Linked DNA regions of Macaca mulatta. The protein of the gene in region 1 purifies or fractionates together with the protein of each later gene. This does not show direct contact. Links are inferred from orthologs where the notes say so. Each region holds a gene or a part of one and is shown in the gene's direction. Other genes may lie near its edges.

Region 1 (3,500 bases):
GCGAAACCCATCTCTATAAAAAATACAAACAAAAAAACTTGCTGGACGTGGAGGTGCTTGCCTGTAGTCCTAGCTACGTCGGAGGCTGAAGTGAGAGGATCACCTGAGCCTGGGAGGTTGAGGAAATGAAGATACTAAAATAAAAATAAAATTTAAAAAGGAGTGGTTGGCACAGACCTTTTTGACAACCTTCAGAATAATTACAAAGTCCAGGATTAACAATAAACGATGAACAAATGTTTCGATAAGAAAAGGTGGTGAAAGTAATTTCTAACAGGGGAAATCATTATTTCTTTCTTTTCTTTTTTAAAGAGACAATGTCTTCCTGTGTTGCCTAGGTTGGAGTGCAGTAACTGTTCACAGGTGTGATCATTGTGCATTACAGCCTTGAACTTTTGGGCTCAAGTGATCCTCCTGTCTGAGCCTCTCGAGTAGCTGGGACTACAGGTGTGCACCAGCAATATAATTGTTTGTTTGTTTGTTTGAGTCAGAATCTCACTCTGTCACCCAGGCAGAAGTACAGTATCACTATCATGGCTCACTGCAGCCTTGACCTCATTGGCCTCAGGTGATTCTCCCACCTCATTCTCCTGAGTAGCTAGGACTACAGGCATGCACTATCATACCCTGCTAATTTTTCTTATTTTTTTGTAGAGACAGGATTTTGCGATGTTGCCCAGGCTGGTCTCGAACTCCCGGCTGCCTCGGCCTCCTAAAGTGCTGGGATTACAGACATAAGCCATCTCGTCTGGCCATTTTCATTTTTTAAAACTACAATCCTTCTCTGGTTTTGTTTGCTGTGAAACTAGAATATTATGACACATTATTTTACTTGCCAAAGGGTAGCATTTTGATACTTATGAAATAACTACACAGGCCGGGTGCGGTGGCTCACACCTGTAATCCCAGCACTTTGGGAGGCCAAGGCAGACAGATCATTTGAGCCCAGGGGTTGGAGACAAAGCCTGGGCAACATGGTGAAACCCTGTCTCTACAAAAAATAGAAAAATTAGCCAGACGTGGTGGCATGTGCCTGTGGTCCCAGCTACTAGGGAGGCTGAAGTGGAAGGATCACTTGAACCTGGGAAGTTGAGGCTGTAGTGAGCCATAATCCCACCACTGCATTCCAGCCTGGGTGACAGAGTGAGATCCTATTCACCTCCACGCCCTCACCAAAAAAGAAATATATCTACACATTGCAAGAAAGATTGATTAAACAGCATTATTTAAAACCATGATAATCAGAATCTCTTTTAGGTCTTGAGTTTTACTCCTTAATTTTAAAAGCATTTTTAAATTAAATTTCTTTTTTTTTATTTTAAAGTAGAGATGGGGGTCTCCTTTTGTTGCCCAGGCTGGTCTCGAACTCCTGCACTCAGGTGATCTTCCCACCTTGGTCTTCCGACGTGCTGGGATTACAGGTGTGAGCCACCGCACCAGCCTATTTAATTATTTAATTTTTTTTTTTTTTTTGAGATGGAGTCTCACTCTTGTTGCCCAGGCTGGAGTGCAGTAGTGCGATCTTGGCTCACTGCAACCTCTGCTTCCTGGGTTCAAGCGATTCTCCTGCCTAAACCTCCTGAGTAGCTGGGACTACAGGTGTGTGCCAGCAGGCTAATTTTTGTATTTTTAGGAGAGACACAGGATTTCATCATGTTGGCCAGGCTGGTCTCGAACTCCTGACCTCAAGTGATGCACCCGCCTCAGACTCTCAAAGTGCTGGGATTGCTGGCGTGAGCCACCACACCCAGCCTGGCCTATTTAATTTTAAAAGCATTTCTTATTTCAAAATAACCAAATTGCAGTACGTAGAATTGGTTTGTTGAATCTAGAAGATAATTTTATTTCTGAAATATTCTATAGAAACAATGGAATGGGATCATCCAGGATGATTAAATTGTATCTATAAACCATATATAGATACAGTTTTTTTCCCAAAGGAAATGTGCTTGCTTGAATTCTTTAAGGTAAGGGAGACTGATAAAGGTTTGATTGTTTTCTTATCAGATTGCATGAGACTCGTTCAGGAGACATCTGCAATGCCTGTGTCCTGCTTGTGAAAAGATGGAAGAAGTTGCCAGCAGGATCAAAAAAAAACTGGAATCATGTTAGTCCATTTTCTTTTTTTCAATTATACCTCTATTATATTTAAAGTAACATTAATTTCCCCCTAATTTAGGAAGTAATATATCCCTAGGGTAGAAAAGTCTGAAAAGAATAAAGAAAAACACTAGCTGCTGCTCAGATATAATTGCCTAACATTTTGGCATCTTTAGAACAGAATAGCCTGGTATGGCATTTCCTTAAGACTGTATCCAATATCTCCCTTTTGGAGATTCACAGTAAGCATTCACCTATTTTTAGGCTTAACTCAGTAATTCCTAGAGTTAATTAGATGTGAATCCTTTTTCTTAAATCTCTTTGGATAACATCATCCTTTGAACTCAGGTTGGTACTAATGAGCACATAGATTTTAGGATCAGACTTGAATTTGAATTTTGCTTTTACCACTACTAGTTGTGGACTTTGGGCAGGTTACATTTATTTATGAAGTGCAAAGATAATAGCTCTGTTACAGAGCAGCTGTGAGAACTGGATGAGATGATATGTAGAAGGTATAACACATAGTTATCATTCACACTAGCCTTACATTGTCCTTTGATAACAGTGTTATGCTATTATAATAGGTCATGATTTTGAAGATGGTAACAACGTTCCTTTTTACATGGGGTAGAAATCTGCAACTAATAAATGTGAATGAATACCTAAGAAACAGGGCCATATGGGGCGAGATCAATGGCTGGGCTAGACTGTGGGAGAACATGCTATTGCTGTCATATAACTCACCTCAGAGATTAAGGTGTGTAGTGAAAAAAGCATAAAGACCTGAAGACCTTGATTCCAGTCTTTTCCCCTCTCCACCCCTCTTAACCCATTTACTTGCTTGGTAAAATAAGGCAAAATGCATAATTTCTCTTTGCCTTGTTTTCCTTCCGTCTAAAATTGGAGTAACAAAAATAGCCCTGTTTATTGCTTTGTATTGAAGATAAAAAGTATTTGAAAGCTTTTCATAAACTGCAAAACATTATCCTGTAGAAATGGAGTTGTTTTTAGGTTTGATTCTTAACCTAGTTGGGTCATCCAGTAACGATTATCCCATATACAAATCTATTTAAATTTTTTTCCAACAGACTCCCACTATTACCCACTTCACAGGAAAGAGTATCTTAAAAAACCCCACTAGATAAATATTATTTATTCCCTTATGTCATGTGATGATTAAAGGTGCACATGGAGGAGTTTCACCCTCTTTTCAGTGTAAAACTGTGGTTCTCAAATAGGCACGGATCTGAACCAAAGGGATACACTAGTATCATTTTAAAAATATTATTAAATATTCAGTATTTTCTTCCAGGTGGTAGATGCAAGGGCTGGACCCAGTCTAAAGACTACATTGAAACCAAAGAAAGTGAAAACTCTATCTGGGAACAGGATAAAAA
Region 2 (3,500 bases), on another chromosome or scaffold:
AGATTTTAGAATGCTAGCTTTAGGTTTTTAGCAGAGCTTAAAAGAGATATGGTCTAGATCAAATTAGTTAATTCTGTGTTTTCTAAGGAATCTTGACTTAAAACATCTCTGTTTTAAAATAAATTAAAAATATACTTGCAATTAAATTGAAATGTTCTTTGCTTTTTTCACATTTATAAGTGTAACTACTATGATTTTATCTGTGCCATACTATCTCATGGAACTGAACTATCCAAACATGACTAATTTTCAAAATGAAAGAATCCTTTATTTCAGAATATTAGACAGGCTTTCAACAATAAAATTTTACTGACCAGGTGTGGTCACCACGCCTGTAATCCCAGCAATTTGGGAGGTCAAGGTGGTGGATAGCTTGAGTCCAGGAGTTCAAGACCAGCCTGGACAACATGGCAAAACCCCATCTCTACCAAACATACAAACATTAGCGAGCTGTGGTGGCACATGCCTGTAGTCCCAGCTACCTTGGGGGCTGAGGTGGGAGAATCACTTGATCCTGGGAAGGCTGCAGTGAGCCAAGATCACGCCACTGCACTCCAGCCTAGGTGATAAAACAAGACCCTATCTCAAAAAAAAAAAGGAAAGAAAAAAACAGGTTTTACTGTTACAGGTTTTTTGGGTTTTTTTTTTTTTTTTTTTTTTTTTTGAGATGGAGTCTTGCTCTGTCGCCCAGGCTGGAGTGCAGTGGTGTGATCTGGGCTCTCTGCAACCTCCGCCTCCTGGGTTCAAGCAATTCCCCTGCCTCAGCCTCCTGAGTAGCTGGGACTACAGGCATGTGCCACCATGCCCAGCTAATTTTTTGTATTTTTAGTAGAGATGGGGTTTCACCATGTTAGCCAGGATGGTCTTGATCTCCTGACCTCATCATCCGCCTGCCTCAGCCTCCCGAAGTGCTAGGATTATAGGTGTGAGCCACCAGGCCCAAACTATTGTTACAGTTTTTGAGAGGTTGTATCCTCATTATATGTTCCTAATATCTTACAAAAGATTAAAATTAACGAAAAAGAGACAGCTGGGCGCGGTGGCTCAAGCCTGTAATCCCAGCACTTTGGGAGGTGGAGACGGGCGGATCACAAGATCAGGAGGTCGAGACCATCCTGGCTAACAACGCTGCCGTTTTGAATCTTAATCTTGACTAGGTTAGTAATTATGGAATTTGAAAGCTACTCCTAAATTTAGGGTAACTTATATCTTTTTAGAAATAATTGTTTTTTTGTTTTATTTTTTGTTCTTTTGAGATAGAGTTTTGCTCTTGTTGCCCAGGCTGGAATGCAGTGGTGCAGTCTTGGCTCACTGCAACCTCCGCCTCCCAGGTTCAAGAGATTCTCCAGCCTCAGCCTGCTGAGTATCTGGGATTAGTGCCCAGCTAATTTTTGTATTTCGTTTAGTAGAAATGGGGTTTCACCATGTTGGCCAGGCTGGTCTTGAACTCCTGACGTCAGGTAATCCACCTACCTCAGCCTCCCAAAGAGCTGGAATTACAGGCATGAGCCACCACGCCCTACCAGAAATAAATTCTTAAGCACCTATTTCACATGGCCACATTTTAATACATTTACTTACTATGAATATTGGAGAGTCCCCACTATATCACAAGTTAAAACGTAAGTTTTGCTATTTAGATGTAGTTTTTTCCTCTTAATTTACTCTACATTGAAGGTTTTTATTTCTTAGCATCTGAGCACTTTAGAATTCAACTCTTTTGGAGAGAAACCTGACAATTATGACTCTGTGCCTCAGTATGGTCAATATCTACGTCTCCTTTGTGTTTCACTTAAATTGTTATATTAAAATGACTTTAGGTGGGTTCACATACTTGGTGTAAAAAATAAAAAAGAAATAAATATTAAAAATTTAAAAAGGTATTAGGAAAAGTTATAAGTAAGATTATATGACCTATTTTTAAAAAAGGAAGTTGCAGACAGTTAATTACTTGTCCTGTTTTTGACCAAGGAAGTTAGGTTTTATACACAGAAGGTTGATTTAGTGTCTGACATTGGAACTGAATGGAGATAGTACTTTATTAGTCTCTGGAGAAAAAAAGCTTATTTTATACAGTCTGAGAGATAACATATATGAATTAGACAGAAGTATAGCAGATGCTAAGGAATAGAAAAATGCTACAGTTGAGAGAAGTGATTCATCAGTGAAGCCTGGAACATCTTAGTGAAGATGTAGGACTTGGGCTAGTCCTTGAAGAAAAGGGAGACATTTATTTGTAATGTTTTGCAATAATTTCCCACCAAGAAGATGAGACACTTTTTAGAACTACTATGTTGAATTTGTAAATGGTATGTGTGTTAACCAGACAGCGTCCTGGGAGCTTAGTTATTTTTGAAATAAATTGGTTAAAAAAAAACCAAGTGTGAGTTACTGCTAAAATTTACCCCATTAATATCATTATATCATTTTAAAAATTATGTTAATATAAGACATAATGTCATTAACATTTTAACCTGTGATTAAGTCTTTATATTTTGGTTTTATTGAATCTTAACAAATTTCAGTTTTTATTTTCAGCATATGCTTGTTTTTTAATTACTAGGCTCATAAACTCCCAGTACTATATTAAGGACTATTTTCAATTTAGATCTGATTTTTTAAAGAAGGATGTGCATACTTTATTTCCCTTTTTTAAAACCCTGACTTTTATTATGTACAAGAATTCAGACTCCATTAATGACAGTTTATTAAAAACTTGTAATTTCTGTGACAATTTATAAATGTCATAAAGAACATGTAGTTTGGATTGTTCTATGCTTCTAAAATGTGAAATTAATTTATACCTAGGAAATGTTGGATTTTATTTTGTGTTACTTAATCCCTTTCACTTCATAGCCTGTACAGGTCAGAAAAGAGTGAAAGATGCTCAGGGAGGAGGAAGTTCATCAAAAAAGCAGAAAAGAAGCCATAAAGCAACAGTGGTAAACAACAAAAAGAAGGGAAAAGGCAGTAAGTGTGAAATATCTAATTTTTAAAATATAAAAATAATAGCTGATAATTTTCTCCCCAGTAAGAAAATGGTATTCAGGATATGGGATAGTACATTATTTTGATTTTGTCTGTACACTCAAAAAAAGTCACACAGATTCTGTAAGGCTACTTGCTTTAAAAAGAAAAAAAAAAACATGCATTAGGAGAAATACCTAATGTTAATGATGAGTTGATGGGTGCAGCAAACCAACATGGCACATGTATACCTATGTAACAAACCTACACGTTGTGCACATGTACCCTAGAACTTAAAGTATAATAATAATAATAAAGAATTTCTGCAAAAAACCCCACAGGTTTTCTAATCTTAGGTAAATTCTAGTTTTAAGCAAGTTGGTATTATTCAGCGGTGGTATTGATTGCTGATGAAAAATCAAGTAATCTGTTTTTGAAATAGTAGCCAATATACTATAAACATCAACATATTTGTTACCTTTGTGTTCCACAGTTATTTTCACTTGCTATAAAATGTATCACACATTGTGAAA
Region 3 (4,210 bases), on another chromosome or scaffold:
GGCCTCAAAAGATATGGCTATGTCTTCTACAGGCGCATAAACTCCAACCCTGAACCCCAAACAAAATGACAAAATAAAACTGCCCCCTTCAGCGCCTTCATAATCTGGAAAGTGCGCGCAGGTGCGCCCCGGCCGCCCGGAGTCCTGCATCCTGCCGGCCTGCTTTCACAGAGCCGCGCCCGCGCCGCGCCTGGCGGCTCCCGCCGCGCGTAGGCTGTGCCGACCGCGGTCCCCGGTGGGGACACCGAGTCCCACTCGCGGCGTAGGGAGGCGGGCACCGTCACGACACTGGTCCGGCCCGCGGATCCCTTGGCCGCCGCAGTTGGCCTCCATTACCCTTTCCCGCGCCGCGCCTCCCCGCGGGGAAAATGAAACCTAGTGCCCTCAGGTTGAGACACAGGGTGGGATCCACTGTCTTCTCACTTAGCCAAGAGAAAAGACAGAACCGACTTCAGACAGCAAAGGGGTGTGTTGCCCTGGCCGGGTCGCCTGCGGCCCCGCCCCGGCGCTCTCCACCTCCTTCGCGGCCCGCCCTCTTGGCTCCCGCGACTACATTTCCCAGAGGACGCCGCGGCTCCGAGGGGCGGGCCCGTCCGCTCTCCCGCTCACGACCACCGGCGACTGGCTGACTCGGCAGGGGGCGGGGCCTGCGCCAGCCAATAGACGGGAGGCTCGTTACGGCGGCGGAAGCAGCGGCGCTGGAGTGAGGGGTGGGGGGCAGAGTGCTAGCTCCCCGGCGGTGGCTGCGGGTCGGGAACCTGGGGACGTCGGCCCCGCAGACAGAGAGCGCGCGGGAGCGAGCTCAAGGCGGCGCGGCGGCCACTCGGCGCAGCACCCAGGTAATGGCGGGACGGGAGCCCGGGAGGGAAGGGGAGGAGACGAGGGGGCGGGGCGGCCGAGCCGGGCTGCAGCGTCCGTCCCGTTGCGCGTCCCCGGGGAAGGGCAGAGGATCCTCGTCTCCTGCAGCTCGGACCGCGGCTCTTTGGCGAGCTGGGCACGGCAGTTGGGCCGGCGACAGGGGCTGGGTGTCCTGTGGCGAGGAAGGGAGAGGCACCGGGAGGGGTGGGCTGACCCGGGCGTGGGGGCGTGGCGGACGTGGGCCTTGGCGGGGAAGCAGAGCGGTCGGGGGAGCGCGGGCGGGCGGGCGGCCCAGGGAGTTTGGCTCCTGGAGCAGTTTAAAGTGACTCTCCACATCCGGGCCCTGCGCCCGCCGCTTTCAGACCCTGGCCAAGGCGGGGCCTCCCCGCTCCCCGCCCCCCTCGCCGGGGGCGCCTGTCTTCCTCTGCCATTGGTTCAGCCTCGAGGGGTTTGGGCTGCCCCGGCCAGGCTCGCGCCTGATTGGCTGGCGGTCGGCGGGAGGGTGGGGCGGGTCCTGACCGTGTAGGTCGCTGTGGATTGGTCCTGGGCCTCCACTGACGCGCCGGGCGTGGGGCCAATGGGCGGGCGGGGGAGGCAGGGGCAGGTTCGGGGGAAGAGGACTGCGAGCACAGCGGCGGCCGGGTGTTGGGGGTGAGTGGGGCCAGCGGGGCTGGACAGCGGCGGGCCCCGGGCGCCGCCGCCGCGATCCCTCCCCGCGCCCCCCGAGCGCATCGCCGCCGCCGAGATGGGCCCTCCGCGGCACCCCCAGGCCGGCGAGCTAGAAGCGGGCGGTGCGGGCGGCGGGCGGCGGCTACAGGTAAAGAGGCACAGTGCTCGCCTTGTGGTCGGGTCCCCAGAACGCCCGTCCGCACCCCTACCCCGGAGACGGGGATCTCGCACTCCGAGGTGTCTGGAAATCGGCGTCCTCCCATCTCAGCGGGGGCTTCGCGGTGGGGTGGGGTTGCGGGCGAATCAGGGGAGATCGCTTGGCTCCTGGGGGAAAAGTGGGGGACGATTTTAGGGAAGATGGAGAAGGTGTAGGGTCCTCTGGCTCTGTGGGGGGTCTATGAAAGGGAAAGAAAAGGAAATCCGTAAATGGAAGCCTTTGCAGAAAAGCGTTGGAGAATTCCTTTTGCATCAGGTCTGAATGTAAAACATCCGATCCTTTCTTAGGGCTGGGTATCTTCCTCCGAATGTTCCTATGACATGCTAATCACAGTTCTGTTCACCTTGGTGTGAGGTTTGAGTGTTTCGAAGAGACATGCCATTTTCCATAAAACTTTACACAGAGAAATACACATGCATTGTGGTAATACCTGTCATGTGACTCTTGTACAGGATTCAATGGTGATTTTTTTAGCATGGCAATCCACAAGTATTTATGGAGGGTTATAGTACACGCCAGCTCCGTATAAACGATATTGGTAGAAAACTTAGGTAGTTTAGATAATGTCTGCATTTATATTGATCCTACGTTATTGTTTTTAAATAGATGATGCAACATTTGCTTTTCCGAGGGACTATCTCATAGGTACTAAAGATGCTTTAATTTCTCAATATTGATTCAGATCTCAGAATCTAGTAATAACCATATAACTGTATGTACTGCAGGTGGAAATGAGTTCTCAACAGTTTCCTCGATTAGGAGCCCCTTCTACTGGGCTGAGCCAGGCCCCTTCTCAGATTGCAAACAGTGGTACTGCTGGATTGATAAACCCAGCTGCTACAGGTGAGATATGTAATATTCTAATATATTTCTTCCAACTTTACGAATATTGCCAGTTTTCTAACTTAAAAATTAGCAGACTCCTTCTAGGATTTTAGTAAATTCTTATTTCTTGAATTTGAAGAAAGGGTATATTACTATTCTAATTTAAACAAGGCTTTTTTTCTTCCTGCTTTAAGCACTTCGTTCACATAGAGTACACATGCAACTTACAGCGAAGCATGCCTGTAAGAACTATTTTTGAAATGCATTAATATATTCATGTTTAATTAATGTCCAAGAGTATAGCATTAGTGCTGTGAGGGAGCCCAGAGTTGTTTAAGGAACAGATCTTGCCTTTTAGGAGTTTATTATCAAGGAAAATAAGTGGAAAACAAAGGATATGCAGTTTCCCTATGGTGTCTGTGGGGGATTGGTTCCAGGACCCACCTCAGATACCAAAATCCATGTTGCTCCACTTTGTGATGTAAAATGGTATAGTGTTTACATATTACCTGTATCTATCCTCCAGTATACTTTAAATCAGCTGTAGATTACTTGTAATGCCTACTACAAAGTAAATAGTATGTAAATAGTTGTTATTCCGTATTGCTAAGAGAACAGTGAGAAGACAAAGAAGTCTGTATGTGCTTAGTACAGATGCAACCATATTTTATTTTTCCCCCTGAATATTTAACATCCAAAGTTATTTGAATTCAGATCAGGGAACCCATGGATACAGAGGGCTGATTGCATACACACAGATAAGACTTGGTTTTTCGTCTCATGCCCTTTGAGTGCTAGAAATCAGTGGTTCTCAGTGACAGGTGTTTGGGGAGGTGGTTTTTCCTGCAGGGGAATACTTGGCAATATCTAAAGACAGTTTGGTTGTCACAACTCAACAGTGCTATTGGCATCTGGTAGGTAGAGGCCAGGGATACTGCTTCACATCCTACAAGATAATGGGAAGCCCCCACAACAGAGAAGTATCCAGTCTAGTCAGCAGCGCTGAAGTTGAGGAATTCCTTCAAATACTCTTTTTCGCTACGTATTAAGTAAATATGTGACATTGCAAAGTGGAATAAACTATTTTCTATTCCTTTTTCTTCACCACTCGATTCTGGTGTTCCTTATGGTAAATGATACCACTGTCTACTCATTGCTTAAACCAGTAGCTGAGGCTTATTTTTTTGCAACAGCATCTCATGCTGTCATTCAAGCGGGAGTACAGTGGCCTAATCACAGCTCACTGCAGCCTCGATCTTTTGAGCTCCCCAGCTTATTTTATTTTATTTTACTTTATTTTGTTTTATTTTATTTTTTTGAGACAGAGTGTCACTCTTTGGCCCAGGTTAGAGTGCACTGGCTCTATCTCAGGTCCCTTCGGTCTCTGCCTCCTGGGTTTTAGCGATTCTTGTGCCTCAGCCTCTGAGTAGCCGGGATTACAGGCATGCGCCACCATCCCTGGGTAATTTTTTTTTTTTCTTTTTTGTATTTTTAGTAGAGACAGGGTTTCACCATGTTAACCAGGCTGATCTCGAACTCCAGACCTCAAGTGATCCACCTTCCTTGGCCTCCCAAAGTGCTGGGATTACAGGCATGAGCCACCGCGCACAGCCACATGTTCAGCTAATTTTAAATTTTTTT
Region 4 (4,263 bases), about 92 Mb from region 1:
TGCTCCAACAGCACAAAAAAAGAAAATGACTTCATCTTTTGGACACGAGACAGTTCCGAAATCCTAGTTTAAATATAGATGGCAGACCTGGTGAGATCTGAGAATGATTCTTATTTAGAAGGCGCTTCAGAAGATCTCGGAACTCCTGGAAAGACATCTTAGCATTCCATTCTGGAAATTCTTTAGTTTTGTTGGGACAAAAAATCCCTTACAAATAGAGCCAAGATTTTAATTAAAACAAGGTAGTAAATAAATGTCAAAATAAATGGGATGGGAATAATGTTTCATTTTTTAGAAGAGTCCATGGGGGCCAATTCAGAGAGAAATTTGATCACAAAAGGTCTGAGAATGGGAATATTCGGTTCCACCCTGGTTTTCACATGTGTTTTCACTACTGGTTGCGTTTCCTACGGAGACTCGGGTGGAACATGAAAGTGGGGCTACTTTGGACAAACCATTAAAAACCTTATCCTTTTTTCTCGCTACACACAACTAGACCACACTGCTCTTAGCTAAAGGGACACCTTAAATCTATTCTTTGAGCAAAACTTGTAACACCGTGTCCCTCTTTTACTCAGAGGGAATCCCACAAATTAATTCTTGCAGATACTCAGCTCTCCTGGTTTTTAAGCTTCCACGTAGGTCTTGCTTAGCCAAATAACTTCTGGTAGGCAAATTCTCCCCTTCTTCAGTTGAGAGCTCAGAGCAAGCTGTTGGATTAGGCAAAAGCACCTTTGAAAAAATTAATATTCAAGACAGCTGTACCGCGGAAGGCCTGGGTCTCCGAGTCTAAAAAATCAGACTGGACGTTGCTATTTTTTTTTAGGCAAACGACAGCTCGTTTCTCGTTTGTAAAACCGGGGGAACATCTTATCGAATAAACCTTACACAAATAGAAAGGATTCCTAAGGGCTGGGAAAATACTGTTTTGCTGTCCCCAGGATGGAATATCAGCATCCTTGTCTTTTAGCTCTTAATAAAGCTCTAAGTAGTCACAGGAGGAGCCAGGCTGCATGATCACGCACACTCTGGATGTCTAGGTTTTCAGACCTAACAAGGGGGCAGTTCGCGTGGTTCCCCTGCTTAGATTAGAGACCACCTCCACCTGCCAAGGGCCCTTCAAACCCTCCGCCCCTAGGTCGCTAACGATCCCTGCTTTAGTTCTAGCTCCAGGCGCCGCCTGGCGGCTGTTTCCGGATGTCGCCTGCGAGCCTCGGGGTCCTGATGGCTGCTGGGCCTGCCCGTAGATTTGCCTGACTCTAGAGAACCTGGCTCCGCCCCTCCCCCACTATACTTTAAGGATTTTAAGACGGCGATGAAAGGGCTGAAGTTGTGGCGACTGGGCGTCCAGCGGCATCTCCACTCCCCCAAGGATGGCGGAGTCAGGCCGTCGTCGGGCAGCTCTCGACCCGGAAGTCGCCAGCGGCGCGAGGCCCCGGTTGCCGAGCGCGGGCGCGGGGGGCGGAGCTCGGCGGAGACCGGGAAGGGGTCGCCGCGGCTCCCGCTCCTCGAGTTGGGGGCTCCCTCGGACGCTGCTAGGCAGACGGCGAGTACCGAAGGCGGGTGGCCGCGGTGTCCCTGGGCCACGCTCAGCTGCGGTCAGAGGCGACATGAGTGCCGCGGGGCTGCTGGCCCCGGCCCCGGCCCAGGCTGGAGCGCCGCCGGCCCCCGAGTACTACCCCGAGGAGGACGAAGAGCTGGAGAGCGCCGAGGACGACGAGCGCAGCTGTCGGGGCCGCGAGTCGGACGAAGGTGAGTCCTGCAGCTCTCCCGGCGGCCGGGAGCGGAGGTGGGACCGCTAGGGAGGGGGTGGGGCTGCTTGGGAGAGGGGCGGGGCGGCCTCTGGGGCCTGGGGCTGCGTGGAGGGGCCGCCGGGAGTTGCGGGACTCGGGGAAGTTACTCCCCTTCGCGCTGGAGTAGCGGGGAAGCCCTGGGTACGTTACACTTGACTGTGATGGGGAGAGGGGACTCACACGTTGTCACGCTGGGGGTCCCTTTAAGACCCCGTCCTCCCTCCCAGCTGTCTCTGATTGAACCTCACATCTTCACTAGTAGGAATGAGAAACTCATTTACTGAATGCACCGAGTGTAGTTCCCCCGTTTTTTGTGTCTGAGAGCATCAGAGTCCAAAGTTGCCCCTCCCCACCCCCGAAATGCGTGTCAGCTATGCTTTAGGTAGGACAGTATTGATAACTCAGGTTGGTTAAAGGAAAGGGACCTGGAACCAGCCAGATACAGGTTTAAATTTGGCTCTGTCACTTAACTCAGCTTTGTAAACTAAAGTTTTCCAGCCTCGATTTACCCAGCTGTAATGAAGCTGTTTAATTCCCACACCTGACCTAGAAAGCACTTCCTAGGGTCGGTATAGGGATTAAATGACATGCGCATAAAGTACTTGGCCTGGTACAGTAAATACTCAGTAAATGTTCTCCCCACCCGCCCCCCTCCCGGAAACAGGTAAGAGAGGGAGGGGTTTGCTTAATGGTCCCCAGGTGGTGTGTTTTCAGTCCCATGCTCTTTACACTGTCATCACAGCGTCTCAGAGCCTTGCTTTTCAAACTGAGCTTTATAATTTGGCAAGTGTGAGGACGCTATTTTGGAGGGATGGAGGAGGAGGAAGGTGATGAAATATGAAAGATCAAGGGAGAAGAAAGAGGAGATAAAGAGAGATCTATATGTGAATGGAATATTCTGGGACAAAATCGGGCCGTGGAGCAAAAGCTAGACCAGCTGTTTGGAAAGGTGCATACGTTTTATTCATCTGAATTTCCCGAGTGCCAAGTAATGTGGCTGACCATGACAGGAACTCAGGGAAGGCCTCTTAACTGAAGGAGGGGAGAAGGGTTTGTGGGGAATTGGATCTGCAACAGCCTTACAAAAGACAGCTGCATATGCATGACATGGAAAGTTGAAGGACTGCATTCGGTTTAACTCCATCCGAAGACAAGGCTTAACCAGAGATTTTGAATGTGAAGCACTTGCGCTGCATCTCATCCCCACGAGGGGGCGCGGTGGAGCCAAAATTGAGGGTTTTTTTTTCCTTGCAGTATAGGGGCTGTTAAAAATTTGTAGACACCCCAGCCATTAATGCTTGTTCTAAGAGCAATGTTTAAGATGTTTTGAAACAATTTTCGTTTGATCATCTGGCCTCCTCCTTGTTCCCTTTAGTTGTAACTTGGAAAATATTTGTGTCAGATTACCTTTTTTATTGTATACAGTTGGCGCTCCATGTCTGTGAATTCTACATCTGTGAATTCAACCAAGCGCAGCTCAAAAATATTCCGGAAAAAATTGAATCCGTACTGAACATGTGCAGACTTTTTTTGTTATTCCTAAACAGTGTAGTGTAACAACTACTTACATAGTATTTACATTTTATTGGATATTGTAAGTAACCTTTTTTTTTTTTTTTTTTGAGGTGGAGTCTCACTCTATCACCCAGGCTGGTGTGCAGTGTCACAATCTCAGTTCACTGCAACCTCCATCTCCGGGGTTCAAGCAATTCTCCTGCCTCAGCTTCCGGAGTCGTTGGGATTACAGGCACCTGCCATCATGCCTGGCTAATTTTTGGGGTTTTATTTGTTGTTTGTTTTGTTCTTTTTTTTTTTTTTTTTTTGAGATGGAGTTTCGCTCTTGTTGCCCAGGGTGGAGTGGAGTGCAGTGGCGCGATCTCAGCTCAAGCCATTCTCCTGCCTCAGCCTCTCAAGTAGCTGGGAGTAGCTGGGATTACAGGCATGCGCCACCACCCCCAGCTAATTTTGTATTTTGAGTAGAGAGGGGGTTTCTCCATGTTGGTCAGGCTGGTCTCAAACTCCCGACCTCAGGTAAACCACCTGCTTTGGCCTCCCAAAGTGCTGGGATTACAGGCGTGAGCCAATGCACCCGGCCTTAACTTTTGTGTTTTTAGTAGAGATGGGGTTTCTCTATGTTGGCCAGGATGGTCTGGAACTCCTGGCCTCAGGTGATTCACCCGCTTTGGCCTTCCAAAGTGCGGGGATTACAGGCATGAGCCGCCATGCCTGGCCTGGATATTGTAAGTAATCTAGAGATGATTTAAAGTGTACTGTTGTCCGGGCATGGTGGCTCATGCCTGTAATCCCAGCACTTTGGGAGGCCGAGGCAGGCGGTTCAGTTGAGGCCAGGAGTTCGAGACCAGCCTGGCCAACATGGTGAAACTCCGTCTCTACTAAAAATACAAAAATTAGCTGGGCGTGGTGGTGCACCCCTGTAATCCCAGCTATTTGGGAAGCTGAGGCAGGAGAA
Region 5 (3,500 bases), on another chromosome or scaffold:
GAGAGCCAGTTCTCCTGCCCAGATGGCCTGGCTCTAACACCCACATTCTGAGCCACTGTAAACCCTCACCCATGTCCCCACTGCTGTACCATAGAGAGCAGGGCTGCACAGGGGCCGGTTTCTGCTGTCCCCACCCTTGTGCCTCACTAGGGAGCTGGAGGTCCAAGGGCCTCCCCTGAGCCTCTCCTCCCACAGGGTTACTGGACCTGGAGGACGATGGGGACTTGATCACTGTGGAGTTTGACGACGGAGATACTGGCAGGATCCCCCTCTCACACATCCGCCTCCTGCCCCCCGACTATAAGATCCAATGTAAGTGACAAGCTTGTGACACCCGGGCTCCTGCCAGGGGCCGCCCATCCAGGCTCTCGCCCTCCAAGCCCAGCTCTGGGCTCTGTCTGAAGTCATTTGGAGCCATAGGTGATGGAAGTAGCAGAAACCATGGATGGGCTCCTGTGAGATCCCAGGGCTCCCAGGTCCTGGGTCCATGAGGACAGCCCAAGCCCAGTGGCCCAGGCCATGGGAAGCTGATCAAAAATTATTAATGGCCGGGCGCAGTGGCTCACACCTGTAATCCCAGCACTTTGGGAGGCCAAGGTGGCCAGATCACAAGGTCAAGAGATCGAGACCATGCCGGCCAATATGGTGAAACCCTGTCTCTATTAAAAATACAAAAATTAGCCAGGCGTGTTGAGACGCGCCTGTAGTCCCAGCTACTCGGGAGGCTGAGGCAGGAGGATCCCTTGAACCCGAGAGGCAGAGGTTGCAGTGAACCGAGATCCTGCCACTGCACTCCAGCCTGGCGACAGAGCAAGACTCCGTCTCAAAACAACAACAACAACAACAACAAAAACCAAAGTCAGCATCTTTATCCACCTGTCCCAGTTCCACAAAGTGCTTTGTTTTACTTCATTCATTCAGGGGCCTCTGGCTGCTCCCTGCAGATGGGATTTCCCCCGCTGGACCTCACAGCCTATCGTGGGAGCCCACCCGGGGTCAGCCACCCGGCGTTGGTTGCTTCCGCCCCCATCCCTGATCCCCAGGACAGACCAGGGTCTTGGAAGCTCCAAGCTGGGGACCCCAGGCCTGATGAGCCACTCTGTCCTCTGCCCTGCAGGTGCTGAGCCATCCCCAGCCCTCCTGGTGCCGAGTGCCAAGCGCCGTAGCCGGAAGACCAGCAAAGACACTGGGGAAGGCAAAGACGGTGGTACGACTGGGTCGGAGGAGCCAGGAGCCAAGGCCCGTGGGCGTGGGCGGAAACCCAGCGCCAAGGCCAAGGGTGGTACGTTGAACCGGACCCCAGGGCAGGGGCGGTGGGTAGAGCTCCTTTGTGCATCCAAACTCGGGGCTTGAGAACCTGCCCAAGTGCCTACCTGCTGTCTGTAAGAACTCTGAGCTGGGTGCGGTGGCTCACGCCTGTAATCCCAGCACTTTGGGAGGCCGAGGTGGGCAGATCGCCTGAGGTCAGGAGTTTGAGACCAGTCTGGGCAACATGGTGAAACCCCGCCTCTACTAAAAATACAAAAATTAACCGGGCATGGAGGTGAGCGCCTGTAATCCCAGCTACGTGGGAGGCTGAGGCAGGAGAATTGCTTGAACCCGGGAGGTGGAGGTTGCAGTGAGCGAAGATCGCGCCATTATACTCCAGCCTGGGTGACGAGTGAAACTCTGTCTCAAAAAAAAAAAAAAAAAAAAAAGACCTCTGCACCTGCACCGCAGGATTGTTCTGACCAGGTGACAGATGAGGAAACTGAGGCTGAGGGAGGCAGGTTGGTTTGTCAGAGGCAGAGCTGAGCTGCAGCCGGCCTGTGTTTCTTTCCAGAATCCAGAGAAAATGCTTTGTACAGGCTGAAAGCAGAGGCTATTGGAGGACCCACTTTGGGGCCAACACAGCTTAAGGTTGTTATAGGGGAACCGCTGAAGGAGGCCTAAGAAGGCCGCAACCGGGTTCCGCTCAAGAAGTAGCAGAGCCAGGATTGAAACCAGGCCGTTCTGCTGGGCTCGGTGGTCCACGCCTGTTCTCAGCACTCTAGGAGGCCCAGGCACAGGGATTGCTTGAGCCCAGGAGTTTAAGACTAGCCTGGGCAGCAGAGCAAAACTGTATCTCTACAAAAAAAAAAATAATAATACAAAAATTCCCCAGGCATAGTGGCGCATGCTTGTGGCCTCAGGTTACTTGGGAGACTGAGGCTGGAGGCTCACGTGAGCCCAGGGAGGTTAGGGCTGCAGTGAGCCCTGATCATGCCACTGCATTCCAGCTTGGGTGACTGAGACCCCATCTCAAAAAAACAAAAACAAAACCCACAGAAGCAGGCCTTCCTGATGAAAGCCACAGCTCGTCTCTGCCAGGAAGCCCCCGCCCCAGTCTCTCATCTGTTTTCTTTTGTTTTGCAGACAGAGCCGCTACCCTGGAGGAGGGGAGCCCAACAGATGAGGTCCCCAGTACCCCCTTAGCCCTGGAGCCGAGCAGCACCCCAGGTTCCAAGAAGAGTCCCCCAGAGCCTGTGGACAAGCGAGCCAAGACCCCCAAGGCGCGCCCAGCACCGCCACAGCCCAGCCCCGCACCACCCGCCTTTACCAGCTGCCCAGCACCCGAGCCCTTTGGGGAGCTCCCAGCCCCTGCCTCCACCCTGGCCGCAGCACCCCTCATCACCATGCCCGCCACACGCCCCAAGCCCAAGAAGGCGCGGGCAGCCGAGGAATCAGGTGCCAAAGGCCCTCGGAGGCCGGGGGAGGAGACTGAGTTGCTTGTCAAACTGGACCACGAGGGTGTCACGTCACCCAAAAGCAAGAAGGCTAAAGAGGCTCTGCTGCTCCGGGAGGACCCAGGGGCCGGGGGCTGGCAGGAGCCCAAGAGCCTCCTGAGCCTGGGCAGCTACCCCCAGGTGGCCGGCAGCAGCGAGCCCAAGGCACCCTGGCCCAAGGCCACGGAGGGGGACCTCGCCCAGGAGCCCGGGCCGGGGCTCACGTTCGAGGACTCTGGGAACCCCAAGAGCCCAGACAAGGCCCAGGCCGAGCAGGACGGGGCGGAAGAGTCCGAAAGCAGCAGCAGCAGTAGTGGCAGCAGCAGTAGCAGCAGCGGCTCGGAGACGGAAGGGGAGGAGGAAGGCGACAAGAATGGGGAGGGGGGCTGTGGCGCCGGGGGCCGTAACTGCAGCGCTGCCAGCTCCAGGGCAGCCTCACCGGCCTCCTCCTCCTCCTCCTCTTCCTCGTCCTCCTCTTCTTCCTCCTCCTCATCCTCCTCTTCCTCCTCCTCCTCCTCTTCCTCATCCTCCTCCTCCTCTTCCTCTTCATCTTCCTCCTCTTCCTCCTCCTCCTCCTCTTCCTCGTCCTCATCCTCGTCCTCCTCCTCCTCCTCTTCCTCTTCCTCCACCACAGACGAGGACTCTTCCTGCAGCTCAGACGATGAGGCAGCCCCCGCCCCCACGGCTGGCCCTTCTGCACAGCCGGCGCTCCCCACCAAGGCCACCAAGCAGGCCGGCAAGGCGCGGCCCTCGGCC
Region 6 (3,442 bases), on another chromosome or scaffold:
GTTCAGGCTGGTCTCGAACCCCTGTTCTAAAGCAGTCCTCTTGCTTTGGCCTCCTAAAGTACTGAGATTATAGGCATGAGCCAACATGCCCAGCTTATTATAGTCTTTTCCCCATTTTTATTTGCTTAGGTTTTCATAATGAGTTATTAAACTGAGATTTGAGTGATTTCTGGCATATATATAAGAATTTGTTGCCTGGGCATGGGGCTCACGCTTATAATTCCAGCATTTAGGAGGCTGGAGCAGGAGGATGGCTTGAGCCCAGGAATTGGAGACCAGCCTGGGCAACATAGCAAAATCCCGTCTCTACAAAAAATTAAAAATTTAGCTGGGTGCAGTGGCGTGCACCCATAGTCTCAGCTACTTGGAAGGCTGATGCGGGAGTGTCGCTTGAGCCCCAGAAGTTGTAATGACACTTAAATAAACAAAAATTAAAACTTCAAATAAAATAGGAACAATCAGGGAAAGATTGGCAGAAGACAAGAGTTTTGCAAGGAAAGAGAAGATAAAAGCAAAGAACTTAAAAAGTGGCAAAACATCTAATGCTCAAAGTACTGATCCCTAATCTGTGTTATGTCCTCCTGGAGAAAATTACATTAAAACCATTTGAGGACTTTTTGCTTATCACACATTACTTCCGTCCTGATCTCCATGATTCTGATACCTGTCAGAGGAAATCCTCTGAGTTAAGTTAATTCTTTTATGGTCCTATGACCCATAGATAAAGCAGAAATTCCCTATGGTTCTGTGTTTATCTCAGGTTGACCTTGTTTCTGATTGAGCTAAGTTCCTTCAGGGGATCCCCCAACTAGAGGTTTAAGAGTTTTTGTCTCTTTAATCCTTATATTTTATGATGTCTTTTAAAGTGTTGAGTAGTACTTAACTGACCAAAGACTAACTCTACTTAATTGAGCCAAACAAAATTTTTGCTGACAATTTGTTACTCCTTCATGTGACATATAAGAGGCCTGTGATTAAGGTGAATAATGTTAAGAAGAATTTTATTTCTAATTTGCTGTTAGCTAGGTATCTTTGTGTAACAGTTTTTGGATCTAACATAGTTGTTTTGATTCCACAGTGTCTCATGCGGGAGCCTCCATGTCATCTGCTTCATCAGACACTGGAATGAGTCCCTCATCATCATCTCCCCCACAAAATGTACTTGCTGTAGAATGCAGGTGATAAACATTTTCTCTACCTTCCCAGCAGTTTGCTGCCATGGACATAAATCCCCAGACCCTGAATTACAACCACAGAAAGCACTCAACTGGTTTGACATTGCTAAGTATATCCTGTATACTTTTCCAGGCCGGATTGTATCTATTCCCCTCTCTCTTCTTTTTTCTTGTTGCAAAAAATAAGCTGATTAATAAGTGAAGGTTAAGCAGCCTGCCATATTTGTCATAATTTTTCCTCTTTACTTTTTTTTTCATTTGTTGTGATATAGAACAAAGGGCACTTAGCAAATTTGAATTTGTATAATAAAGCTTTCAGGTGTTATAGAAATCATAGACAAGCAAGTGCACATGATAAACATCAAAATATTACCCAGCTGAATAGTTACTGCTGCACTTTCACTAAGATGTATTTGAACACTTGGTGAGTAGGGGGTTTATGTTGTGTTTTTTTCATTATTGTTGTTTTTTTTATTTTTGTGGAAGCACTTGCTATTTAGAACTGCCAAAGTATATGTTCAGCAGTGTGCCCAGGATTAAAGGTGTAAATGGGACAAAATAAATTGTGAAAGGAAGTGTAGTTGACTGAAAACTACAGTTGTAATAAGTCTTCCACTTTTTATAGGATTTTTGAGCACACAATTATGCAAATATTTTAATGTTTATTAATGTTTACAGTGGAATTGTGAATAAGTTTTCAGTGGACTATCTTATCCCTTGACAAAAATATTTTGTCTTTTTTCTATGTAATTTCAGAGTTTTTATTTTGTTACAAAAAGACAAAAATGAAATATATAACAACAATGAAGTTATTTAACAAGATTTCTAAAGCTGAAAATTTTGTGTAAAATAAGGTATTATCTTGCAACTTGTTAAATATATTTATTCAGACATTGGATGTTGTATTTTTATGTATTTTTTAAAATATTAATAAAATTGAAAAAAAGAAAATTCTAGGTTAATTCACTCTTTGGATGACAATAGCTCTCAGCTGTCCTTTTTACAGGAGGTTGCATCCTGCAGCCTTGCCTGTGTTAAAGGGAGTCTGTCTCAGTCCGTCAAACAGTATAGAACTATAAATGGGCATCTGGATCATTAAAGTATGTCCTTGTTTAGAAACTTTGGCAGTCCTAGTATTTAAACTGTTTTGAGGATCAAATTTTTGGTTGCCCTTAAGATACTTTGTCACAGTTTTTATGTTTGCTATACTGCCGAATGAATTTATATCTCCCAAAGTTGAGATGCAACAACTAAGTAAAGCAACTATGTATGCTTTGTCTGTGAATTGTTCCACAGACTGATACATTTTGTAAATAATTCTTCCAAAATCATGTATTTAAAGCAGTTTTGCATATACATTATGTAAAAAGGTGATTTTTTAAAAGCAATTTTTAAATTCATGTTTGTACATTGAAAGGGGTTTTTTTTTTTTAAACCTCCTTTTCTGTGTTTAATATGCTGTAGAATAATAACCTAGATGCTCTAGACTGTATATCAGGATCTGATTTACAAGAAGAAGTCAGAGCTAAACACTAGTGATGGCATAGCATTACTGAAATCATTGTTTCTTAATTTCATTTTACCACATTGTGAACTTGTGATTCAGATTCCATTTTCTCAGAGAATTAAAAACAAAAAAAGTACTCTTGTAAAATGCACTTTTCTGTCTTTTCTTTGCAAAGCAGAAGTATTTCAATGTAAAATAAAAATGGAGCTCAGTGGGCAGTATTAATAAAGGCCATGTTTTAAACATAGGCTTTATACTTTTAGTTTTATTTTAAGTGATTGCTTTTTTCCTAAGTGCTAATAACTTACAGTTGGAAAATCAGATGTCACAAAACCAAGCATTTTAGTATATTCTTCAGCCTTTACAATAAAATATTTCTACTAATTATAAAAATGAAAAAAAAAAAAGTGTCATTTAAATCCAGCTGGACCTAGGAGGCAACCTTAGATTTATACATTAAATATTTTAATGATTTCCTTCTGTAGCAATTCAATAAATGTGAGATAAATAAGTTATCAGCTTGAGTACTGTCCCTTCTAATTGATACAAATTTGGTCATGAAGTATTGGGATGTTGCTACAGAGAACAAAACTGTGTATTCATTGAATAGATACACACTGTTAAAATCCTTTTATCTGGAAGCTGGAAAGGATTATGAAATTAAGTGAATATTGACTAAGTATGACATTTCAAATATTGAGCATATTTTGAGTTTAGGTAAACTTTGAATAGATACCTCTTACATGTGACTAAGAAGGTA
Region 7 (3,500 bases), on another chromosome or scaffold:
AAACGGGATTGGGGTCAATGGGATTGTACTAGTGATTGCTAAATTCTCTTACAACTAGGATTCTGTTATTCTATTGTCCTGATCTGAAATCTCCCAGCCGAAGCTTAAGGAAGCCACCTATTCTCTCTGTTCTCCTATGAAGTTTGTTAATGTGAACTTGAGCAGTTGATCTGAGTGGTCTCGCCAGTCTAGCTAACGTGCAGGACCAGCTTCCTCTCAGGGATGCAGAGTGGGCTTTGTTGTGCTTTCTTCCTGGAGAAAAGCATGTTCAGTATTATATACATCAGCTAGGTGGGATTCTTAGGGACAGTGGCATGTGCTGTGTTCGAAAGTCCGAGTTGAATCTGACAAAGCTATCCCAATTTGTAACCACGTAAGTGGCTTTCATTAGCCTAAGCCACTTTTAGATATAGGAGATTTCCTATATTGGTACATCAACATTTTCCGAGTACCTCCCGTCTGCAAGACACCATCACGGTATAAACTTAAAAGTACTCATGACTCACTAATCCAGCCACATGAAAGTGATCATTCATCTGAATGAACAGTTTTCATTATTTTCTCCATGAAAAGGTCTGAATTAATTGATGCGATTTCCTGCCAGCTTACTTTTATCTTTAAGGATTTAAGGAATAAACTCAAATTCAGAAGTCTCTGCAGAACATTTGTGAAACAGCTGTTTCACTATCAACAACCCCAAGTCATTTGCCAGGCATTCAGTTTCTGTAAGGTTTTTCAATGGCTCCTCCAGCCAGCCATGGAGGATTCTTCATGTCTTAGCTGTTGCTGCCACCTTCACTTACCTCCATCCTGTATTAGAAAATCTGTAGTATCCACCTTCTTGTATGTGGTTCTACCTTGTAAGAATTTCCACATCTTTTTCCACTTTTCTTTGTGGATCAGATGTGAGATAATGCAAGAATTATAAATTGACACATAGAAACAAAGTTTTTCAGAGAGTTATTATCCTACAATAGTAGCTATTGTAAGTGTAAAAATAGAGTGTCCCAAATACCATTGCCACAGTCCCTTGTGTCCTGCTTTCCTCCTCCCCAGGACAGTGCATTCCAGCCCACTATAAGTTCGTGACTCCTACAGGTCTTCTGAAAATGTCGCATCACTCCCTGCTTCCTTGAGGGACTCTGTCTTGTCGGAAGGAAAGTCTAAGCTGTTCTCATGCCCACCGCCCAGATGCCTCACTTTTTCATTATGCTCCTACATTACATGGGCAGCCATCATCACCCAACTGACACTGTACCCTGGGCCTCCTCACTCTTTCTGTCATCCTCCATTGGAAACTCTAAAGTCTTGGCACTCCTACCCATCTGGAATGCTTCCTGTCTGCCTAAAGTCCTCCCTTTTAGTCAGGGCCCTTCACCCTGAGCATCTCTGTTGCAGGAATCTCTTCCTTTGCTGAATCTGTACCATTTACTGTTTTCACCATTCACTGGAGGCTTGGTGTATGATACGCCACAAAGTGTGATGTTAGCGTTCTCTTGGTGTTCTTCTGCACCTCAGTAGTGAGCTTCTGGGAGGCCTACATCTTGTCTTCTGTCTATCTCTCCAATGCCCTGCAATGGACGGAAGCCCCACAATTTGACAGATACCTGTTGCTGTCTCCAAGGAATTGGCCAACTCTGACTTTGATTTTTCTGTCCGTCAGGTAAGGCACCTATATATCTGTGATTTTCACAAAAATTTCATCCAGAGTGTCCGAAATAAAAGGAAGAGGAAGACAAGTGACGATGGTGGAGATTCTCCCGAGCACGACACTGACATTCCTGAGGTAAAGGTCAAAGAAATCAATTTGCGGAAGCTGGAAAAATGGATTCTAATCTGATCCTCACCTCTGGCCTGGTCTGCTTTTTGTATTAAGAAGTAATTTTAGTCCCCTTTGTTTTGCTGTGGATTATTTGAAAAGTGAATTATAGTAATACAGAATCTGAGAGCTAAAAGCTTGGATACCCACTGGTCAGACTGCCCCATCATTTTATGGACAGGCACAGAGAGCCAAGGTCAGGTATATAGTTTGGAGGCTCTAGTCTGGGGCCCTTTCCAGTAGACCACGCTGTTTTTCTGCAAGACGCCCCTGACAAATGCATAAATACAACCACAGTGTCACTTTTTAAAAAACCTTGTTTAAAACCTTTAGAGAGTGTGTAATGGTTTGGGAGAAGTCTCTTCCCCAGAAAATGAAGATGTAGGTCATCAGTTCATACCAGCTCTGATTTTCTCTCACTGGTTTCTTGACACCTAGTCCAGGCTGTTCCCAAGGATCCATTTCAAAGTTGACTAAACTGGACCTGGTTTTCTCAACTCTAGCACTGTTGACATTTGGGGTCAGATAGTTTTTGTTGTGGGGACTGTCCTCTGCATTGTAGGATATTTAACAGCATGCCGCAGCAGCATCCCCTCATGGGATTCTACCCATCACCATCCTGAGTCATGACAATCGAAAAGTGTCTCCAGACATTGCCACACCTCCTTTACAAGACAAAATCGTCCTGTGTTGAGAACCACTGCGCTAGACCATAAGACCTAGGCTTCTCAAACTGGAAGGCCGCCTTCCCTTCAGGTGCCTGTGTCTATTAAGTGAGGCTTCAGGAAGGAATATTGGATTTTCTTTCTACTAAATTGTTTTCACTCAAGACTCAGCAAAAGAAGAACCGTTTATAGTGTACATTGAATATTTGACACATGAATATTTCATAAGGCAACCGCCTGTTAGCACTCAGAGTGAAAATGACTGTGTAGGAATAGAAAGAGTAGGCGGGCCTTTGTCTGCAGATGTGGAGGAAACCGTTGAAAATCTGGCCCTTTCCCTCTGCCCCTCCCTGTGTCCCCTTTTCCAATGTTGGTTTACAGAATCTTGCTGTTGCTTTTAGCATTATTGTTATTTTATAAAGAAATGGATGTATTCGATTTCTAAGTGGTTTTCACCAAAAAAAAAAAAAAAAAAGGTTTTAAGGAATGTTTTGAAAAGAATGAAGGACTTTGGCCCCTCATATTGATCATTCATTTTGTTTTTAAGTGCTCTCCACCTGCCTGAAGCAAGAACAGCTCTTTTAGAGGCAGGTAAAGGCAGCCCAACTTTATGGGCCTTCGATTTTTCATGACTATGCAGCTTTCCTCTCTTCCTTTGTTAGAAACAAAAAGGGGGGGTCCCTTCCCCTCTGTTATCCAGTCATCTGCAAAGACCCCAACCCTAACCTGCTGGTTTGCACATTCACTACAGTAACTTTTGAACTTTCTCTGGAGGGAGGTTAAGGATTCTAACACCAGAAGGCTGGGCCTAGGAAAGGGCTATTTGAGGATAACAGTTCTTCCCACTGCCCTCCTTTGTGCCCCTTTATCTGGTCGCTGCCTCGTTCTGGCCTATCTTCCTCCAGGATGTCTCTGGTTTTTGCCTTTGCTCTCCATCTTTGGTGTCCCTTCTAACGTCACTGCCTCTCCAAAGCTCAACCTCTTTATCTCATTCTGCTTGTTGCTATAGCATCTCC

The links.
Region 2: the proteins of SINHCAF (region 1) and ARID4B purify together in Homo sapiens (affinity purification with mass spectrometry; 3 studies listed by BioGRID and IntAct, counting the BioPlex papers as one, with this or other methods). This does not show direct contact. The link is inferred for Macaca mulatta from reciprocal best matches to the Homo sapiens genes SINHCAF and ARID4B.
Region 3: the proteins of SINHCAF (region 1) and SAP130 purify together in Homo sapiens (affinity purification with mass spectrometry; 3 studies listed by BioGRID and IntAct, counting the BioPlex papers as one, with this or other methods). This does not show direct contact. The link is inferred for Macaca mulatta from reciprocal best matches to the Homo sapiens genes SINHCAF and SAP130.
Region 4: the proteins of SINHCAF (region 1) and SUDS3 purify together in Homo sapiens (affinity purification with mass spectrometry; 3 studies listed by BioGRID and IntAct, counting the BioPlex papers as one, with this or other methods). This does not show direct contact. The link is inferred for Macaca mulatta from reciprocal best matches to the Homo sapiens genes SINHCAF and SUDS3.
Region 5: the proteins of SINHCAF (region 1) and TNRC18 purify together in Homo sapiens (affinity purification with mass spectrometry; 3 studies listed by BioGRID and IntAct, counting the BioPlex papers as one, with this or other methods). This does not show direct contact. The link is inferred for Macaca mulatta from reciprocal best matches to the Homo sapiens genes SINHCAF and TNRC18.
Region 6: the proteins of SINHCAF (region 1) and ARID4A purify together in Homo sapiens (affinity purification with mass spectrometry; 3 studies listed by BioGRID and IntAct, counting the BioPlex papers as one, with this or other methods). This does not show direct contact. The link is inferred for Macaca mulatta from reciprocal best matches to the Homo sapiens genes SINHCAF and ARID4A.
Region 7: the proteins of SINHCAF (region 1) and SAP30L purify together in Homo sapiens (affinity purification with mass spectrometry; 3 studies listed by BioGRID and IntAct, counting the BioPlex papers as one, with this or other methods). This does not show direct contact. The link is inferred for Macaca mulatta from reciprocal best matches to the Homo sapiens genes SINHCAF and SAP30L.

What each region holds. Positions count from the first base shown.
Region 1 is NC_133416.1:33,457,699-33,461,198, reverse strand, and holds part of SINHCAF (SIN3-HDAC complex-associated factor), read left to right. Parts: intron 1-2,007; coding exon 2,008-2,107; intron 2,108-3,415; coding exon 3,416-3,500. UniProt on the Homo sapiens protein: Subunit of the Sin3 deacetylase complex (Sin3/HDAC), this subunit is important for the repression of genes encoding components of the TGF-beta signaling pathway.
Region 2 is NC_133406.1:13,890,715-13,894,214, forward strand, and holds part of ARID4B (AT-rich interactive domain-containing protein 4B), read left to right. Parts: intron 1-2,856; coding exon 2,857-2,970; intron 2,971-3,500. UniProt on the Homo sapiens protein: Acts as a transcriptional repressor. May function in the assembly and/or enzymatic activity of the Sin3A corepressor complex or in mediating interactions between the complex and other regulatory complexes.
Region 3 is NC_133417.1:9,247,305-9,251,514, forward strand, and holds the start of SAP130 (histone deacetylase complex subunit SAP130), read left to right. Parts: upstream 1-1,410; 5' UTR 1,411-1,603; coding exon 1,604-1,675; intron 1,676-1,962; exon of another isoform or gene 1,963-2,389; intron 2,390-2,469; coding exon 2,470-2,587; intron 2,588-4,210. UniProt on the Homo sapiens protein: Acts as a transcriptional repressor. May function in the assembly and/or enzymatic activity of the mSin3A corepressor complex or in mediating interactions between the complex and other regulatory complexes.
Region 4 is NC_133416.1:125,665,819-125,670,081, forward strand, and holds the start of SUDS3 (sin3 histone deacetylase corepressor complex component SDS3), read left to right. Parts: upstream 1-1,463; 5' UTR 1,464-1,610; coding exon 1,611-1,752; exon of another isoform or gene 1,753-2,423; coding exon of another isoform or gene 2,424-2,457; exon of another isoform or gene 2,458-3,431; intron 3,432-4,263.
Region 5 is NC_133408.1:43,513,381-43,516,880, reverse strand, and holds part of TNRC18 (trinucleotide repeat-containing gene 18 protein), read left to right. Parts: intron 1-195; coding exon 196-312; intron 313-1,117; coding exon 1,118-1,282; intron 1,283-2,394; coding exon 2,395-3,500.
Region 6 is NC_133412.1:131,497,176-131,500,617, forward strand, and holds the end of ARID4A (AT-rich interactive domain-containing protein 4A), read left to right. Parts: intron 1-1,078; coding exon 1,079-1,182; 3' UTR 1,183-2,942; downstream 2,943-3,442.
Region 7 is NC_133411.1:163,320,127-163,323,626, forward strand, and holds part of SAP30L (histone deacetylase complex subunit SAP30L), read left to right. Parts: intron 1-1,663; coding exon 1,664-1,786; intron 1,787-3,500.